2 linked regions of the Schizosaccharomyces pombe genome follow. The gene in region 1 interacts genetically with each later gene. Each region holds a gene or a part of one and is shown in the gene's direction. Other genes may lie near its edges.

Region 1 (5,481 bases):
CATTAAGCAAAAACAGCAAACGAATGCAAAGAGAGATATCAGTAGTGGGTTCATTTGCAAAGAGAAACAAAATCAATTGTAGGGGGAATTTGGGAAAGGAGGGGAAAAAAAGAATAACAAGATTTTTCGTTCAAGCATGACTACTTTAATGAGACTCACGAATTTCATTGATGACATCGACAGTTTTGTCGTCTTTATGTTCTTCGACGGGAGAAGAAGACTCGCGAACTTCGGTAACGATATCGATGGCTTTGTCGCCTTTATCATCGGTAGGAGAATTGATTTTGAATTCATCTTCAGAGGAGGAGGATTGCACGGGAGTGTGTGAAGAGGCAGCCTCCAAGTCGACAACTTTGTCGCCGAGCTTGGCAATAAGGAGTCTTGCAGCACGACGTTCCTTGTACCACATGAGGAACATGATGAAGGCTACGAAAAGCCAATAGATGATGTAGCTAAGGATGGAACCATAGGTACCAGTGTTGTTCCAACCTAGAATGGCATTGAAGATCATGTAACCACCATTGGAATTCATCTCTGGATTACCATAGTTGACGTGCCAAACGGCGGATTTGAAGGGATAGGAACCGGGACCATCACCGAGCTCACCAGCATCACCACCAGTTTGATGATTCCACTTATTCATTTCAAAGTAAAAGGTGGCCTTGGACATAAGACCGGCGGAGATAAGGTAGAGGATACATGTTGAGGCAATCAAGAACCATTGCAAGTTCATCACATTACCACCACGATAGATAAAGTAACCGATAAGACAACCAACGATGAGACCGCAAATGACTGGAAGAGGGAAAGCGGTGGCAGGTGTTTCCAAACCGACACCACCGACAAAGACGACGACTTCCAAACCCTCACGCAGAACGGTGAAAAAGGGAAGGAGAAACATGGAATACTTTTTACCCCAATTGGAGATACCTTTGGCCTTGCGATTGGCGATACTTTTCATAAGTTTCTTGCGCCATTTCTCCTGTAAATGCGAGACACGAAGCATAGCGAACCCCATTACGGTGATCAAGACGACAGCGATGAGAGAGAAGACACCTTCCCAAATTTCTTCGGAACCACTCCAAATATCTTTGTCGAGGGCATAAAAAGCACCGATAAAGCCACCGCCAATGGCTAAACAAATGAACAAAGCAGTAAACGAACCGATCCAAACCTGCAGCATAAATTTTCGCTTTAGTTTTGGATCCGTCACGTTTCCATCTTTATCCATGAGTGTTTGGGAGATGAAGGACATCAAGACTGAGACGATGATGGAAGCCTCAAGGGTCTCACGAAGGACGATGAAGAAGATAGCGACGGAAAAGACGTCTTTTGCCATGGTAGAGAAGGTGGGTAAAAGAGAAGAAAAGAAAGAAAGAGAGAGAGAGAGAAAAAAATAAAATGAAATAAATTTCAAACCTTTTCAATACGAATTGTATCCTTCCACAATTTGTCAACGGGTATAGAATGCGATGCAGTGCGATGCCTTTCAATTCAATGCAATGTAATGTACTTTGAATGTGCAAGTGTACAGTCGTTTCAAGCGATCCACTACAAAACTCAAGCCACAGGCCAATGTCCTTTGTCTCGTTCCTTTCACCGCGTTAGGGCAAACAGGCCGGGGGGAAGCATGCCCTTTTAATCTGTTTGACCCACTTCTTCCAGGCATCTGGATTACATCTGATAACTTTTGTCCAGATTGGTAGATAAGCAACCGATCAAAGTGGACACCAACTCCGACCCCAAAACTGTCCTATCTTGCCTTACCCTAAGGAGCATATCTGATGAATTATTCTGTTGTCAGAGACAAACTGGTCAATCTCATTTTTATCCGATATGGCGTCAAGAGGAGGGTGCGACCCCACCCACACCCTCCATCCTATATATACTCGGTTGGTGGGGCGAGCGGATTTCGATTTTCTACGCAAAGTACCGTAACTTAACTTACCGTAGCGTAGTGTTTGACTTGTGTTTGGATTGCTTTGGTGCTCGACTCGTTCACATATAGGCAGGTGAGAAGATTTTGCGAATTAAGGATTTGACGAACCGATCCATTAAAGTTGGTTAGAAGATCCACAATAGCTCACTAAGTGGTTGCGAATTTAGTTGGGTGCAGTTCGATATCGTGGTATAGCATCGTATCGTATCGTATCGTATCGCCATAGAAGAAAGCTGGTGGTTATTAAGTTGGGGGCCTTTGTCAGTGTATAAAGATATCAGATCAAGAATTTCAAAAGGCAAAACAATAGCTGGTCAAAGCGACGTTGAAATCGCAAGTCAACTTGTTGTAGGTTTTGTTGAAAAACGACTTGCTTATAAAGCCATCACTGGACAAACGGTAGCGATAAAAGTACACCCCCTTTCTTTTTTTTTCTGCTGTTTTTTCTGCCTTTCTCTCTCTTTGTTTTCATTTCTTTTTTTTCTGTTCTTTTTTTTTTTTAATATCTTTCCTTATTCTTCTTTTCTCTCTTGCGCGCTATAATGAATAAATTTTTCTCCTTCCCCATTCTCGGCCTTCTTCTTACATGCGTTCGCTTCGTCGTCGCCAAGGAACGCTTGTTTGAATGGAATGTCACAGACGTTTACGACGTCGACCCTGATGGATCGGGAAATTCCCGCTGGGTCATTGGTGTTAATAACAAATGGCCCATCGATCCCCTTGTCGTCGACTATGGTGACCAAGTCATCATCAAGATGACCAATTCCCTCGCCAATAATCGAACTACTTCTTTGCATTCTCATGGCTTGTTTCAAAAGTTCACTCCTTACATGGATGGAGTGCCACAAAGCACTCAATGCGAAATTCCTCCTGGTGCCACTTTTTACTACAACTATACCGCTTTGCAGAATGGCACCTACTGGGTTCATTCTCACGACATGTCCCAATACCCCGATGGCCTTCGTACCCCTTTTATCATCAACGCGTTGGAGGAGCCATACGATTACGATGAGGAGTATATCATTTCCATGACGGATTGGTACTATACTCCTTTCAACATTCTCGTGCCCGATGAATTTAAAACTTGGAAAAATCCCACCGGTGCCGAGCCAGTCCCCGATACCGGTCTTTTCAACGATACTGCCAACGCTACTTTTGCCATGGAGCCTGGTAAGACATATCGTTTGCGCTTCATCAACATTGGCGCTTTCAACAACTACGATGTCATGATCGAGGATCACAACATGACCATCATCGAAGTGGACGGCGAGTACACAGAGCCTCAAGAGGTTAGCTCCATCCACCTTACAGTCGCTCAACGTTACAGTGTGCTTGTGACAGCGAAGAATTCCACCGATCGCAACTATGCCATCACCGCTTACATGGACGAGTCGCTATTCGATACGATTCCCGACAATTACAACCCCAATGTAACGGCCTGGCTTTCTTACAATTCAGATGCTTCATACGATCTAGGGCCTGACATTGACGAAATCGATTCCTACGACGACGCAGAGTTGAATCCTCTCTATAGCTGGGATGTCACGGAATCCAATCATTCCATCAACATATGGTTTGACTTTTTCACCCTTGGTGACGGTGCCAACTATGCAGAAATCAACGATTCATCCTATGTGTTCCCCAAGGTCCCATCCATCATGATTGCCAACAGCACCAATGTAGATGGCTACAATTTGGAGCCCGTCACGTATGGACCCTATACCAATGCATATATTTTCGAGTATGGTGATGTGGTGGACGTTATCATTGACAACCACGATACAGGAAAGCACCCCTTCCATCTTCACGGACACACCTTTCAAGTGTTGGAGCGTGGAGAAGAAAATGCCGGACTGTACTCGGATCAAGAGTCGCACACATACTATGACAATCCAATGCGTCGTGACACCGTCGAAATCGAACCGGGAAGTTTCATTGTCATTCGTTTCATTGCCGATAACCCAGGTGCCTGGGTTATTCATTGCCATATTGAATGGCATATGGAGAGTGGTTTATTAGCTACGTTTATTGAAGCACCGGAGATGATACCCAGTATCTCCAGTCCTGATTTTGTGAAGGAGCAGTGCATGTTGGATGGTGTTCCAACGATCGGAAATGGTGCTGGTAACTACAAGAATATTTCCGATTTGTCTGGTGCACCGTCTCCTCCCGGTGAAATGCCAGCTGGCTGGACTAGCAAGGCAATTGGTACAATGGCAGCATGTGTGATTTCAGCCTGTATTGGCATGGGATCGATTATATTTTACGGCGCCTCTATTCATCCAGTGCCGACGGAGGAGTTAGACGAGAATGACGATCTGCAAGAGGCAGCATTGGAAAATGCAGCTATGTTTTTGGACACTGACAAAGCTGTTGAGAAAGTGGTGGAAGGAAAAGATGAAATAAAATAAAAATAAGAGATGAAAGAAAAATATGTGTTTCCTACCCCCAAAATTACAGTTGGTGTGTCTTTTTTTTTTACTCCGTTTTACGTTTGTTTAAAGGAAAGGAAAAGAAGTAACGGATATACGCGACTATCTTAATAAGCACCTAAGAAGAAGAAGATCAAAGTAAGGTGTATGCAATTCGATGAATTACTGGAAGACTAACCCCAGTAATGAATTTTTGTGAGCGTGTGTTTGTATTTTTTTTTTCTATATTTTCCATTTTATTTACATACTTTAAGGATTTTTGTATTTGGAAAAAAGTGCAAGATTTCTTTATTTTTTTTTTTACTATTAGTCATTTTTCATAATATCAAAGTTTTTAATTTCCCCATTGTTTTTCTATTGTCATGTAGGTATGAGTATATTTTGTGGTAGGTAGATCAAAGCAAAGGCAGCAGCAGTATGCGAGATACAAATGTACGAGAAAAAGCGAATAGAAGGGCAAAGCGAAAGCGAAAATTGCTCACGAGGAAAAAAGAGTGAAGAATTGTCATGTAGAAAGTGTCGGTAAGCGATTTTATTCGTTCGAGATGACAAGAAATGCTTGATTAGCTTGTCTAACGAAAAATTAATCAAACAGTAACTTCCTTGACGACCTTTTTAATAACAAGCATACAGTAGAGACAAGAGTAAAATGGTCATAAAACAAAGATGAATTGAAAACATGAATGGGTGTAAAAACATTGAAAACGTATGCATATCAAACCATTACTCAAATGCCAGTGGTACCTTTGACTATTACCATATTGGAAAGAGTTATCGCAATATGTTGATAATTTTATCAATCCCTAACTATCGTTCTAATGATTGTTGTATAGTAAACCTACTTTGGTAGAAAGGGCGTTTACGCAACAGATAGGAAATGAAATGGATGCGCACCGTCCAATTTGCATCCGTCTGCAAGGAGTTGGAAACTTGATACAATTGGCGATTACCAAGGCAAACTAAATAGGTTGACCTCGGAAATGCTCTGTGTGCACGGCAGCAGCAAAAATTAGGGAAAGGGGTTATGGCGACCGCGGTAGAAAAAAGGGAGTTACAAAGAAGATGATTGTAAACTATATGAGGAAGGTTGGAAAGCGGATTCAGGAACGG
Region 2 (7,268 bases), on another chromosome or scaffold:
CCAGTCTTACCACGAGATGTTCCTACATAATATGCTGCGCTTTTCATAAAAGCACATATCCTGCAAATATCTCTTCCATTTAAGATTATTTCGTTTATGCCTTACCCATGGATCTACGATTGATATCGAAGTTTGATTGAATTATGATTTCTTTGATACAATCACGAGTTATGTAAATGATATCTGTTGTGTTCTCGTTTTAGTATATTGGGTTTAACCTTTTCAAATTTGTTGCTAAATTTATATGGCACAGATCAGAGGTCGAACCCTTTTATTATTGAACTACTTCTTCTTCGGCAGCTCTCTAGTTGAGTAGCTGGCAGTTATGCTTACCATAATTGATTAGACATATCAATGAACTTAAGCATGTAGCGGTGCTCGACCGTTCAGACTAAAATAACAAGGTAGGGTCATTGGAGAAAAAATCATAAAGAAAGACATTTCGATATTTTGCAACGTCGGGAAGCAAATTGGCTGGGGTAATAACAACGACCGTTCTCATTAGTTTGAACTTATTAAAAAGGGGAAATAGTCATTGAAGCACTTAGTTTTTGTTTTGAATGCTAAAATGGTATAATACGTCTGTCTTACTAAATATAGCTACCAGTCTATTTATATCAAACTTATAAAAGCTAACAAACTAAGATCTTCGCATTTCAAGCAGAAAATCATTGATTTGTAATATATATTAATAGTATTTTTGTCAATTTGAGTATTGTTTACTATTTAAACTTTTCTTGAAGCAATTTGAAGATCCTAAGTTACTAACTTTTGCTAATAAAAAATAAAAAGCTTAGGAATATTTACACAAACATAGAATCAATTTCTTTTCTTCTTTTGTTTCCCATTTTTTTAAATTGAACAAAAATAGGGAAAATCTTAAAGAAAGCAAGCAATTTATTATGTTATCGAATTATCAAATATTTTTTACTTCTTCTTCAGCATTATAATTTCCTAACTAGTTTTGTTTACAATCAAGAATATAAAATTAATGCAAATGATCAAAATTTGCATTCGTAAGAATTTTTATTCAAGTGAGTTCAACTAATTGTTGTGAGGCCTAATTTATGTTAATCCATACTTCACAAAGATGACAATCTTCGAATAAACAGCTGAAATTATGCTTCATTTTATATTTAGTTTGTTTTTGATTTTATTTTGGAAAAGAATTATAGTTATAAAATTTTATATACTGGATACTTATACTTTTCCTAATCTTAGGACTTCCTTTGTCGTCTTTTACCACCTCAGTTAAGGCTTTGCTTGTTGACATAAAGTATTATTGAAACTAGAGAAAGTACTATAGACGAGTTTTTCTGTTTTATTAACTTCGAAATTTTTAACGTGATAAACATTGCTAAGATGCGCAAAGTTTCACTTTAGATGGAACGCTAGACATCCAGGTGCGTTTATAAGACGAGAATCATAACTATAGTTTATATCTAAAAGTTTGATATTTCTAAAATGATATCGTTTCATAAAACTACAAAATATGAAAAAATCTCAGTAGGTATTCTTTCAAGGTCTTCTCTTTTATTGATTACAGAACACATCTACAACAGTGAATTAGAGGTTTGCTTGCCCTTCCTAATGGACTGAAGACACTTGACCGGTGTCGAATCTAAACTCCGAGTTCAAGAATATTTAACTCCGATTAATTTATCAGATGTTATTAAGCAACATAATGAGATTCAGCGCAAACGTTATTAGTCAACTACCAACACTTTTATAGATGGTGATCTGATATCCTAACATTAACTTTATTTTGAATCCTACATAGCGCTCCGATTACTCTACTTAGCCCTGTATAGAAAGACTTAAGCATCGCTTTTAATAAAGTATTTGGATAAGTATACATGTAATGATCACCGCAAACAAAGGCTTGTCTCTGGTTTTGCTTATCCCAAATTTATTCGCTTTAGTTAGCGGGGGCTTACAATATGTTTTTGACGTTAGGAGACGGATCTTTCGTCCTCACTTTTCGCAATTTTGGACCATCTGGATGAAGTTCTTTTCGATAGCACTTGTTATTATTACACAAATATATGTGGGATATAAGACAAAAAACATCGGGTGGAATTTTTTTTCAGTTGTAACTTATTGTTTCGTATTATTTTTACAGTTTGCTGAGCAATCAACTCTAAGAGTTCCCATGGCTTCTCTATTGATATTTTGGCTTCTGAAAGTAGTTACCTCACTTTTGATTTTGTTGTTCAGTCCCTATATTGCAATTACCAGTATGGCTCGGTTGCTTACTTTAATTACTCTGTTCTGCTCGCTCGTATGCTTTATTAGTGAGGTTTATGTCCCGCCTTGCAATCGTGTCTGGTATTCTGATGATACAAACGAAGTTGAAGAGAAGGGGATAAGACCTTCTGAAGTTCGATATGCGAACATATTCTCAAAGTTATCATTTTCTTGGATCAGTTCTTTCATAAAATTTGGTTACACTAACTATTTAAAGGAATCTGATGTTTGGCTACTTCCTCCAGATGAGCGATCTGGCAATTTAATAATTGGTTTTGAAGACTGGTGGATATACCATTCGAAGAATAAACGAAGAAGTCTGTTTTTATGGAAACTTTTATTTTTTAATCATTGGAAACTTGTAGCTCTAATTACCATCACAAAGTTGATTCAAGATGTACTTGCTTTTGTTCAGCCAACATTGATTCAGAAAACCATTCTCTTTATTAGTTCTTATACTTCTCCCAATCCTGAATCCCCAAGTAGAGGTTTTATAATCGCTATCTTGGTTCTTGTCGCTAATTTCCTCCAAACTTTATTACTACAACAATATAATCAGCTTATTATGTTGCTTGGAATGAGATGGAAAACGGAACTACTTGCATCTATTTATCGTAAATCTCTTCTTCTATCAAGTTCAGCACGCCAAAATCGATCTATTGGTGATATAATAAATTACATGGCTGTCGATACTCAAAAAATAAGTGATCTGCCGATATATTTATTCATTATTGTTTCAGGTCCATTTCAAATTGCTTTAGCTCTTTCAAATTTATACCACCTTATGGGATATAGCGCTTTTACGGGTGTCGCTGCATCCGTTATACTATTTCCATGCAACATTATTGTCGCCAATGTGTACAAGAAGTTTCAAAGTATTTTAATGAAAAACAAAGATTCCCGTTCCAAATTGATGACCGAAATTATCAATAATATACGCAGTATTAAACTTTATGCATGGGAAACCCCATTCCTTCAGAAGCTACTGCATATAAGAAATACTAAAGAATTAAGTATGTTAAAAAAAATTGGTTTCATCACTGCAATTGGTGATTTTGCCTGGATTTTTACTACCATTATTGTTACAACTGTTGCTTTTGGAGCCTTTATTATTTTCCATGGGAAAACTCAAGCTCTCACTGCGGATATAGTATTTCCTGCTGTAAGTCTTTTCAACCTGTTGCAATTCCCATTGGCCATGTTACCCACAGTAATTAGTTCTTTGTTGGAAGCATCTGTATCCGTTTCTCGAATATATGAATTTCTCATAGCACAAGAATTGGATTACAATGGGGTACAACGATTTCCCGCTACAGAGATTCCTCATGAAATTTGTCTTGAAATTAAAAGTGGCACCTTCAGTTGGTCTAAAAAAACACTAAAGCAACAAGTAACGCCAACTTTACGTCAAATTAATTTTGTCGCAAAAAATGGTGAGCTGACTTGCATATTTGGCAAAGTTGGAGCGGGTAAGTCTTCTTTGCTAGAAGCATGTATGGGGAATATGTATAAAAATTCAGGTTCTGTTTTCCAATGTGGTTCACTAGCTTATGCAGCTCAGCAACCATGGATCTTTGATGCAACTATCCGGGAAAACATTCTCTTCGGATCTGAATTTGATCCTGAATTGTATGAGAAAACCATTCATGCATGCTGCTTGAAACGTGATTTTGAAATATTTACTGAAGGGGATCAAACGGAAGTCGGCCAAAAAGGTGCATCGCTGTCGGGGGGTCAAAAGTCGAGAATCTCACTTGCTCGTGCAATATATTCTCAAGCAGACATCTATCTTCTCGATGATGTTTTGTCTTCCGTAGATCAGCATGTAAGCAGAGATTTAATTAAAAATCTTTTTGGTCCAGAAGGTTTCTTGAGGACGCACTGTGTTGTTCTTACAACAAATTCTTTAAATGTGCTTAAAGAAGCAGACTCAATTTATATATTAAGCAATGGAAAAATTGTTGAAAAAGGAAACTATGAGCACTTATTTGTCTCGACAAATTCTGAGCTAAAACAACAACTATCGGAGTTCAACGATGAGAAGGACACGCAGCCTTTACCCGAACATACTACATCGTATCCAAGTACTCAAATTTCTTTGGCTCCTTCAATTCATGTCGAAGGCTTAGAAACGTATTCTTCAAGTGAAAGAAAAGATAGTTCTAATAAGTATAAATCTAGAAAGAGAAATCCGATCCGCCAAAAAGTGACAGAAGATGATAAGGGAAAGTGTGTTGCTCAAACTGATGAACTTGTTCAACGCGGTAAGGTTAAATGGCATGTATATTGGATGTATTTTAAATCATGTTCCATCGGCTTAATTTTACTATACTTCTTCTTCATAATAAGTGGTATAATGATGAACGTCGCAACCAATGTTTGGTTGAAACATTGGAGTGAAGAAAATGGAAAATCAAGTTCAGAACTTAACCCTAGCCCTTATTTCTATCTTGGAATTTATTTATTTTTTGGATTTTTATCATGTGCTTTCATTTCAAGTAGTAGCTTGACTATGACGGTGTTGTGCGGTATACGAAGCGGTCGATATTTGCATGATTCAATGCTTAAGACGATTTTGCGTGCTCCGATGGGCTTTTTTGAAACCACGTCTAGTGGAAGAATCTTAAACCGATTTTCGAACGATGTATACAAAGTTGATGAAGTAGTTTCGTTGACATTTATGTTTTTCTTTCGAAATTCAATTCAAGTGCTCTTCATTTTGGGAGTTATCTGCTATTCTGCACCATTATCTTTACTTCTGATAGTTCCTCTGTTTTTTCTGTATCTTTATAATAGGGCTTACTATGTGCGAACTTCACGTGAATTAAAAAGACTAGATAATGTCACCAGAAGTCCTTTATACGCACATGTTCAAGAATCATTAAGCGGTTTATCAACAATCCGAGCGTACGGTATGCAAGAGACTTTCGTTGAAGAAAATGACCTACGAATTGATACCAATCATCGTGTATGGTTCATGTTTTTCAGTTCCAGTAGATGGCAAGCTATTCGAGTGGAATGCATTGGAGACTTAATCATTTTTTGTACAGCATTTTATGGAATCCTTTCTGCAATTAAAGGTAGTCCCAACCCGGGCTTAGTGGGTTTTTCGCTGTCATATGCAATACAAATTACTCAAGGTCTCTCATTTATAGTGCAGCAATCTGTTGATGCTGAAAATAACACTGTTTCTGTAGAGAGAATTCTAGAATACATTAATGTTAAGAGTGAAGCACCGGAAATTATTCCAGAGAATCGACCACCTTGTGAATGGCCCACTGATGGGGCAGTCTCTTTCAATCATTATAGTGCTAAATATCGTGAGGACTTATCCTTTGCTTTAAATAACATTAACATTGAAATTTCCCCACGGGAAAAGATCGGTATCGTCGGTCGCACCGGGGCAGGAAAATCAACTTTGGCGATGGCATTGTTTAGAATAATTGAACCAACTGAAGGAAAAATTGAAATAGATAACGAAGACATAACGAAATTTGGATTATACGACTTGCGCTCGCGATTATCTATCATTCCACAAGAAAGTCAAATATTTGAGGGCAACATTCGAGAAAATCTTGATCCGAATCATAGACTAACTGATAAAAAAATTTGGGAGGTATTAGAAATTGCTTCTCTAAAAAACTGCATTTCTCAGTTGGAAGATGGATTGTATTCTAGGGTTGCTGAAGGAGGTGCAAATTTTTCGTCTGGTCAACGCCAATTAATATGTTTAGCAAGAGTTTTACTTACTTCGACCCGTATATTATTGCTGGATGAGGCAACAGCATCAGTCCATGCTGAAACTGATGCTATTGTACAGCAGACCATTCGCAAACGCTTCAAAGATCGTACAATTTTAACAGTTGCACATAGAATTAATACGGTAATGGATTCAGATCGCATCTTAGTCTTAGATCATGGAAAAGTGGTTGAATTTGATGCAACTAAAAAATTGTTGGAAAACAAAGACTCGATGTTTTATTCGTTGGCTAAAGAAAGCGGTCTCATTTAATAATTTTTAATCGTTCTTTACCTGTATTACAATAAATCTAGATATCATATCATACTTGCAATTGAAGCTATTGGTTTTTTACACGTTCAGAAAAATATATATATACAAAATGAAGTTTTCTTTATGTTTACATGATAATTTTGTTCGTAAAAGCAGTATCACTGATATCTACGGTTTAATTCGCTAACTTTTTGGTTATCTACTCTTCTTTGTACGTTTAGCCTGATATTCTTGTGGTAATGAATGAATACTTAAATTTTTGGAAATGAATATGATTAGATTATATGGCGCAGTACAACAAATAGATTTAAAATAACTCATACAGTATATTAAAAAGAAAATCAAACGTAAAGGCTTCGGGATATAAAGTGATCAAATTTCTAAGAAAAAAAAGCGTTAGCATTCGAGGAGGGTAAGTATGATTAGATGTTTACTTGAAATTAGAGTGTTAAAAAATATGGCTTTATATCAAATAAAATATCGTTGCAAAACCGTGCAATGCTTCGTCAAATTGACATTCACCTAGACTTTACTAGTTTCATTCGCGTATTAGATTTCCTGTTAACTCAAATAGAACGATAATATTCTGGTACCGTAGCAATTCATAAAATTAAATTCGGCGGAATAACGAAAGTTGTAATTATTAAGTCCTAACGTCTCTATCAAAAGTTAGCACCAGCCTTAACATCATTGCGTACATTTTCTTTCTAAACTTTTAGGGTAACATTTTGGAATATACTAATGTTTACAAATTCAATACCAAGCTACATCGCTCCAGAACGATCTAGTGAACTTAAAGGCATTGCTTCCAAAAAAATAAAATATTTTTCCTTAAAATGCCTTTCAGAGCAGTCAATAAAAAAATAAAAAATCGAACAAAGGAACATGAAAAGAAGCACGAAAAAAACCTATATAATTTGCTTCATTTGAAGTGTAGAGAGTACTTTACTTTTAGTGAAGAATCGTTAACAATTCCTATTGTAAGTTTGTTAGCTTCTATTTATGATGT

The links.
Region 2: mutations in fio1 (region 1) and abc3 impair growth when combined (synthetic growth defect), as found in Schizosaccharomyces pombe (one study listed by BioGRID).

What each region holds. Positions count from the first base shown.
Region 1 is NC_003424.3:4,233,158-4,238,638, forward strand, and holds fio1 (Fe transporter/Cu oxidase Fio1), read left to right. Parts: upstream 1-1,914; 5' UTR 1,915-2,481; coding exon 2,482-4,350; 3' UTR 4,351-4,717; downstream 4,718-5,481. Other genes in the region: Fe permease Fip1, read right to left, coding at 146-1,339. UniProt on the Schizosaccharomyces pombe protein: Could be an iron transport multicopper oxidase, which is required for Fe(2+) high affinity uptake. May be required to oxidize Fe(2+) and release it from the transporter. Essential component of copper-dependent iron transport.
Region 2 is NC_003423.3:120,886-128,153, forward strand, and holds abc3 (multi drug resistance-associated protein abc3), read left to right. Parts: upstream 1-1,756; 5' UTR 1,757-1,861; coding exon 1,862-6,259; 3' UTR 6,260-6,576; downstream 6,577-7,268. UniProt on the Schizosaccharomyces pombe protein: Iron-regulated vacuolar transporter that mobilizes stored heme from the vacuole to the cytosol in response to iron deficiency.